2 linked regions of the Schizosaccharomyces pombe genome follow. Changing the gene in region 1 together with any one later gene gives a genetic interaction. Each region holds a gene or a part of one and is shown on either strand. Other genes may lie near its edges.

Region 1 (5,624 bases):
TAGAGAGTGATTTTTGAATATCTGCCTATAACATTTTTCTTTTCTTTGGTTAGAATCTTTCTAAGCCTCTATATCGTTTATATAGGTTTTTACTCTGTGTCTTTACAGAATTAATCATATAAAAAATGTCTGTCTATCAAACTCGTGAAGGTTTGCCCAGTGGATGGGTTGCTCAATGGGATGCTGAATATGGAACATACTTTTATGTTAACGAGTCAGCTCAAAATCCACAGCCCCAATGGGAACCACCAGTCGAAAATCTGAAACTTGCTCCTCCTCCAGGAGCCACAAGCGTTAATACAGCTGTGTATAATAACAATAACAATACTTCTGCTGCGAATACGAATGCTGCATACAATGCTAATACTGCTGCAAATGCCAATGCTAACACTGCCACGACTACCAATGCTGCCGCTACTACCAGCGCTGCATATAACCCCAATGCCCCTGCCAATACCAATGCTGCATACTATCCTAATGCTGCTGCCACTACCACTACCAATGCAGATGGTAGTGATAAAGGGCTGTTCAGTGGGCTTACCTCTTCTAATGGCTACACCACTGGCAACTCTTACAGTAGACCAAGCTACGTTGCTCCTGTCGCTGCAGGGTTAGGTGGATTGGCCTTAGGTGGCCTGGCTTCACACGCACTTGGCAATCTCTTTCACCATCGTGGTCATAACGGTGGTGGTTTCGGAGGTTTTGGTGGTGGTTCTGGCGGTCCTCCTCCTGGTCCTGGTGGATTTGGAGGCTTTGGAGGCTTTGGAGGTGAAGGCCATCATCATGGTGGTCACGGTGGCTTTGGAGGCGGCCCTGGAGGTTTTGAGGGCGGTCCTGGTGGCTTCGGAGGCGGTCCTGGCGGCTTTGGAGGCGGTCTTGGAGGTTTTGGAGGAGGCCCCGGAGGCTTTGGGGGTGGTCCTGGAGGTCATGGCGGTCCTGGTTGGTGAGACTGAGAAACATGGAACTAAATATTTGTTTATGAGCTTTTTATGTGAGTATATTGCGCAATAGATATTAAGTCGATACCGTTAAAAAATTTTTTATGTTTATACTCAGTTATTTTGCTAAAGTGAAATTGAATTTTATTAAGGTAGGACTTTCTGAAAGTATTAAGTAGAGCTGGGCAATTTTAGAAGTGCACATAGAAAAGCTCGCAAGCAAGCAATTTTGATATCCCTGTGTTGTTGTTTTTTAGGTTTATGTAGGAATGATTCAATGCAACAGTTTAGATATAGGTAAACATAAGTGCTGTATCTATAGCTGTGGAAACAATTCATGCTTGTTCATACGTAACATTTTATGCGCAAGTATTAAAAGATTCTAAAAAATATCTATTATGTTCATTATCTCGCACACGTCAAACCCAGTCTACTTCGAAATGCGTACGTGTATACTTTGGCTGTATACAATCTGAAATTTGAAATTTAAAGCTGTCAGATTAGCTTCTATTAATATTGCGTAAATCGGTTAGTTCAGAGTCTTTTATCCCAATACTTCGTCAGATTTGTATACTTTCTTCATTAAAAGTACATGTTTATCTTAACATAGAAGAGGTAAGTACCGCTAATTAACCGAATTGCAACTTGTAATTATAACAGCCAAATCATTTCAAACCAGAAGAGTGCAAGTTTAAAAAAAAAACCGATAGAACAACATACAGTGCCGCATTCAAACTACACATACATAGGGTTTCATCTCGTGGTATATAACGAGTCAATAGAGCATTCTCAATGTTAAAAAATACGGAATATTGTGGTTCTTTACAAAACTCATTACCTTCTCAATAGTACCACTAAAATCAGTGATAACTGTTTCAGAGGCGTCCGTATATACCTTTTTTACTGTTGTATCTTAATTAGCCAATTTTCTCGTATCTTCTTTCTATGTTTCAGCTCATTGTTTTGATTATAGCGATGGTGTTCACCGTTGCTGCTATCCTATTGCCGCATCCTTAAACTTCCATAAGCTCTATAGGTGTCAGGTAGACTACGTCATTGAGTAACGAACTACATCAGCGTAAATTTGGTTTAGAATGTATGAGAACTTAGCAACTCCAAACCACAAATATCAACGACAGGATTATAGACTGATACATAGAAGAAACTAGCAGTTCTTTTAAAATTTTTTTAGGATTTAACGATTTATACCTATTGGGGTACTAAGAATTTGGTAGAGTTACTCAAATTCAGTTAAAGACACGGATTTTCCTTATACGTAATTAGTGTCGATTTTCTGAAATCTTGCTTGCTATTTTATAGCTTAGAACGAAAAAGCAGGAATTTGTTTTGTTTTGTTTTTTTAAAAAAAAAAACACTTTATCTTGTGAATTGCTTTGGAAAGTGAGCGTATTCCTCGTAGGAGCTTTTGAATTTTTGATATATCGTTAGCTTGTAGTGAAGGAAACGGAAGCCATCAACGGAATAACCTTGTTCTCCATCATTTGCTATCATTCGTGAATAGGAACAATAAAGAGAAAAAAAATACATTTTTAAAGAAGTTTATATATACATTGATCTAATAGTGAAAATATTTAACACGAATAAGTTTGTTTCATATGCCTTCGAAATTTTCCTCTAAATACGTGGATACAGAAGCCATTTCAAATGATGATGACAATCCCTTTGCAACCGCTAAGAGTTATTACTCCAAGGATACAGACTTGTCGACTCGGGTAAGTGCTGGCCGTCCTCGCACCTTATCCACTTCGATGGAGGCATCCGCCGCACCAACTATACCAGAATTAAAGAATTTACGTCGACGTGGAAGTCTTGATGAACATAAACAACCACGAAAATTTCTTGTTGATGTTGATAAGACATTGAATGCACTTTTGGAATCTGAAGACACCGACCGGAACATGCAAATCACCATCGAGGATACCGGACCTAAAGTTGTTTCCCTTGGCAGCGCTAGCTCGGGTGGATATCGCTTGTATGAGCTTCGCGGCACATATCAATTGTCAAATTTACTTCAGGAATTGACCTTGGCAAAGGATTATGGACGTCGATATATTTTACTTGATGAGCGAAGACTTAATGAAAACCCTGTGAACCGACTTTCTAGACTCATCAAAGGTACCTTTTGGGATGCCCTTACTCGAAGAATCGATGCCAGTGTTTTGGATGTTATTTGCCGTGATACCAAAGACCGATCAGGATCACACGTGAATCGAATTTATGTTCCTAAAGCCGAACAAGAGATGTATGAATACTATGTTCGCGCTGCTAAGGAAAGGCCTTACTTGAATTTACAGGTCGAATATCTGCCGGAAGAGATTACTCCAGAATGGGTGAGAGATGTAAATGATAAGCCAGGGTTACTTGCACTTGCAATGGAAAAATACCAAGATGATGAAGGCAATACACATCTTCGAGGTGTGCCATTTGTCGTTCCTGGTGGCCGGTTTAATGAACTGTACGGCTGGGACTCTTACTTTGAATCACTGGGTTTGCTTGTTGACGATCGGGTTGACTTGGCGAAAGGTATGGTGGAGAATTTTATTTTTGAAATTACCTATTACGGTAAGATCTTGAATGCCAACCGCACTTATTATCTTCTTCGCTCCCAGCCTCCATTTTTGACCGATATGGCCCTTCGAGTTTATGAACGTATAAAAAACGAAGAAGGATCTTTAGACTTTTTGCATCGGGCCTTTTCTGCGACTATAAAAGAATATCACACTGTTTGGACTGCCACTCCACGACTGGATCCCAAAACTGGTCTTTCCCGCTATCGCCCTGGAGGACTCGGTATTCCTCCGGAAACTGAAGCTTCTCATTTTGAGCATTTGCTTCGTCCTTACATGGAGAAGTATCATATGACTCTTGAGGAGTTTACTCATGCATACAATTACCAACAAATTCATGAACCCGCGTTGGATGAGTATTTCGTGCACGACCGCGCAGTTCGCGAAAGCGGGCATGATACTACTTATCGGTTGGAAAAAGTTTGTGCTGACTTGGCCACCGTGGATCTGAACTCGTTGCTATACAAATATGAAACCGACATCTCACATGTGATTTTAGAATATTTCGATGACAAGTTTGTACTTCCAAACGGAACTATAGAAACTTCTGCCATTTGGGATCGTCGTGCTCGTGCTCGTCGTGCTGCAATGGAAAAGTATCTTTGGTCAGAAGCTGATTCGATGTGGTATGATTACAACACGAAGTTAGAAACGAAGAGTACTTATGAAAGTGCTACTGCTTTCTGGGCCTTGTGGGCCGGTGTGGCAACTCCCCGTCAAGCCGCAAAATTTGTTGATGTTAGTCTTCCCAAGTTTGAAGTTGCTGGAGGTATAGTTGCTGGTACAAAGAGAAGCTTGGGTAAAGTGGGTCTTGATAATCCCAGCCGTCAATGGGATTATCCTAATGGCTGGAGCCCTCAGCAGATTTTAGCTTGGTATGGATTGATTCGATACGGATATGAAGAGGAGACTCGTAGACTTGTATATCGTTGGCTATATACTATTACTAAATCGTTTGTTGATTTTAATGGTATTGTTGTTGAAAAATATGATTTGACCAGACCAGTTGATCCACATCGTGTTGAAGCTGAGTATGGTAATCAGGGTGTCAATATCAAAGGCGTTGCTCGCGAAGGTTTTGGATGGGTTAATGCCAGTTACGAAGTCGGCCTTACATTCTGTAATTCGCATATGCGTCGGGCTCTTGGTGCTTGTACGACTCCTGATGTTTTCTTTGCCGGCATCAAGGAAGAATCTCTTCCTGCTTTCGAAAACCTTTCCATTCATAAAAATTAAGTTATCGTTTGCTTGAAAAAAATAATCGACTTTGTCTACTTTTTTAGTTGCCTTTAGCTTTATTCTCTTATTATGTTATTTTGGTTATCGACCGGTTAAAACCCATTGTTATGTTACATGTTATACCTTCCATTAAATCCTTCTACTATGAAGGTTCTATTTGGCGAATATTCCCTTACGAAACAATAGTTAATTCTATTTAAATTTATGAGTAAAGCTTATCACCAGCGATATTATTACTTTTTTACTTAAAAGAAAGAAGTAGTAAATGAATTTTTTACCTTACGATTCAATTCTAATTTATAATTTCCATGATAGTACTGTTGTTGCAGTTTTAGTCCGAATATAACTCTAATGTTTAATTTGGTGTCTATCACTTTATTAGTTTTTTTTTTGAAGGAATTGTCTTCTAGAAACTTATTTTGAGTTAATGTACCGTATTATGTCGTTCACATTTGTAGACAACATAAGTTGGCCACTTCCTTACACAACAACAGTATATTATTAAAATGTGTTATGGTTCGATATTCATTAAGAAAGGTAAGAGATGCTTAAAGAGATAAGGATATGAGTAAATTTAGTGTTTGAAGTTCGTAATTATCGTTCGCTTTTGAATGTGAATGTTAACAAAATTAGGCGCATGAATACGCCCGAGATGGGGAAAATCAGGAAGTTTTGGGAGAAATTTCACAAGCAATTATGTATTATGGATTAGCAAAAAGTCAGTTTGAAAAGATATGTCAGAACACAGCTCAGCCTCTTATTAAAAGATGCGCAAATAACCAAATCGAAGAGTTGATGGTTCGTATACGCGAGTTACGAGAATCATTGCCAAACAAACAAACACCAATATCAATGTCAA
Region 2 (2,787 bases), 4.3 Mb from region 1:
GTAACAACTTACGAAAATGCTTCAAAAGCCAGATTTTTTAGAAGAATGCTAAATGCATTTATCTTTATATTCTGTGCATCTCCAATGTTGCATTACCTGTCGAATATTATATTTGGAAACTTTGATTACAGACTGTCGGTGATCATTGGTGATCTTTTCACTTTTATGGAGAAAATTGCTTTTCCATGTTACATAATGTTTCCCACCCATAATGAAGCACTTGCCTACAATCGAAATGTAGCTGAAGAGGCTCAAGAGAAAATGATTTGACAAAAACCATGGTTTACTTGATTCACCTTTAAAGGGGTTACCGGGATTATTTTATTTATTATTTGTTTATCAATGGATTAATATCCAGTTATTTTAATCTCACTTTTTTACACAGAAATTGTGTAGTAAGTTCATTCTTATTTAATATACCACCTATTTATTTTTTACAAATGAATATTTTTTTACTGGAACGTTTTAAATACACATAACCTTTGAGTCGATGTGAAATAATGTTTTGTTCAAACTTAAAAGTTGCGAATCTGACATATAGACAAAAAAAAAATAAAAAGAAAAAACTGGTTACCTTCATAAACATATTTTGCTAATTTATTGAATTTAATTATTTTCAACTTGCTTTCCCATTTTCCCAACAATTTTTTTATCTATAATATATATTTTACAAAATTAATATAGTACATCGCATGGTTTTCTTTAAAACGACATAAACGTATAATAATAAACGGGGATTCAAAGTAATAAATCGAATCCAAATCAACTTTCAAATACATCCATTTCATCTACTTTACCCTTATATTCCCCTTCATATCCCCAACAAAAAACAGGAATTTGCGAAAGTAGTAAATGGTAAAAGTGAATAAATAGAATCAAGGTTAAAAGCTTACTTGTATGCATAAGAAGATAACTCCCTCCTCTTTACTTTTGCTTAAAAACAGATTCTGAGATTCGGGACTAGCATCGGTAATATAAGTTTTTCTTTCATACTGTTGAGTACTAGCATCAGAACCCTTAATGGTAGGAAGATCATCATCATGACTACGCCTTTGTTCAATCGAGTAAACATTTGCTGGTTCGTGCCAGTCACACTGAGAACAACAAAGTACCTATTATTAAAAATGTTAGCAAGCGATCGCTAACAAGTTGAAAAGTAAACACCTCCAACTATTCCATGGAAAGCATGTAACAATGAAGATCAATGAATGGCTATTAGCTTAACAAACTTGTAAACTCAAAACAGACTAACAACGTTTGTCAGGCACTAAGAGCAATAATGGAACAGACTTCATATCAAACGCTTTCTTGAATGTTCTTACCTTATTCGTATAAACCGGAAGAACAGGCACAATGAGAACCGTTACGGTTTTCAACTGACGACATACTCGGACTAAAAACAAAAGAAAGAGCCAATTGCTTTCGAAACTACTGAACTTGTTTATTTCTCGTACCAGTCTTCTTTGAACTAAAAAAAAAAAAAAGCATTAGCAAAATGTGTTGTCAAACGGATAAAAAGAGAACAGGAAGAAGATTGCTGGAAACAATTTTAAAACAGCGAATAAAAAAAAAAGAAAAAATAATAATAATAATAAACAAAATACGAGTCGCTAATTTTTGAAACTAATCGCTTCCAACAACTGTTTCATTATAACTTCACCATTTTAATATTGTCCCCAAACAGCATGATTTAATTCTCTTTCACTAATTTCATACCACACAGGACACGTAAGTAAAACATCCTTATAATCGTCAGTGGATATCCACATATCTCGTAAATGTAATGGCATTGTTAAAAAAAATAAACACTCAAGTGAATAGAATTATGAAGAATTCGAGTCTAGTTCAAAATATTTGTTTTGACAGAGTCCCTCTATTTATACCAAGACTAAGCCTCACAGTGAAATATTGTCTAGCAGTAAAATTGCTGATTTATTTATTATATTGTTGGTACATTTACTCGGAAGTACCATCGGTTTCATCTAAATTCCGATCCTTTACATTTGGATGCGTCGTAGTATATCATAACAAATTTTTTCCTCGTTTCATTAGAACTCACTCCATTAACTCCATTAGAACGTTTTCTAAATTTCAAGTCATTATACTTTTCTCTATTGAGAAAGTCACTAGGTCAGAAAGCAAGAATCATTCTTACTCGAAAACCGATATTAGTGATCTGCACCAGGGCTATAATAATCCACCATCAAGATTCATATCACGATAACAATTCCATAGTATCTTGCTATATACGTGTAATGAGTATTCGATACTGGCTTGATTGCTATTTCTCCTTTGCTTGTAATCGTAAAATTGACTTGAAGATCTAAACCTTCTAATGCAATCATTGGAATTCTGCCTAACCTGATCAAATATGGCTTGATCGCCGTTATGTTAAAAGCAGAAGCTATGCCAATCAGTATGATTGTAACTTACAAAAAAATATAGCACAACGACATACAACATTATGGTACAATAAAGAGGACTTGATATATCAAGAACGAGGTTCAGTTTGTGCTCCGTTTATATTATTGTATTTCTATATATGACATTACTTGATGCAATCGCTTAAATATGTACTTTTGTGTAGTTATACTCGCAAGTACAGTAGCATTTTTAAAGTAGCGGTGATGTTGACGAATGGTTTGTTTCAAATCCATCCATTTCAATTTCAATTGTAAATTTCTCTTTTTCAATTATTAATCAAGTAAGTTGAAGTGTATCAGCACAATAAATTCTGACTATTACTACTCTTAAAATAAAACTCAAGCGAAACTAATTTTTAATAGC

Evidence for each region.
Region 2: mutations in ntp1 (region 1) and ftm7 together harm fitness more than expected from each alone (negative genetic interaction), as found in Schizosaccharomyces pombe (one large-scale study listed by BioGRID).

Annotation. Positions count from the first base shown.
Region 1 is NC_003423.3:204,524-210,147, forward strand, and holds ntp1 (alpha,alpha-trehalase Ntp1), read left to right. Parts: upstream 1-2,057; 5' UTR 2,058-2,554; coding exon 2,555-4,762; 3' UTR 4,763-5,118; downstream 5,119-5,624. Other genes in the region: protein wwm2, read left to right, coding at 126-947; protein Atg38, read left to right, coding at 5,279-5,302, 5,399-5,624.
Region 2 is NC_003423.3:4,501,393-4,504,179, reverse strand, and holds ftm7 (transmembrane helix domain-containing protein), read left to right. Parts: upstream 1-1,783; coding exon 1,784-2,224; downstream 2,225-2,787. Other genes in the region: SPOM_SPBPB2B2.19C (transmembrane helix domain-containing protein), read left to right, coding at 1-270; SPOM_SPBPB2B2.18 (uncharacterized protein), read right to left, coding at 516-653, 894-1,112, 1,323-1,393, 1,455-1,488.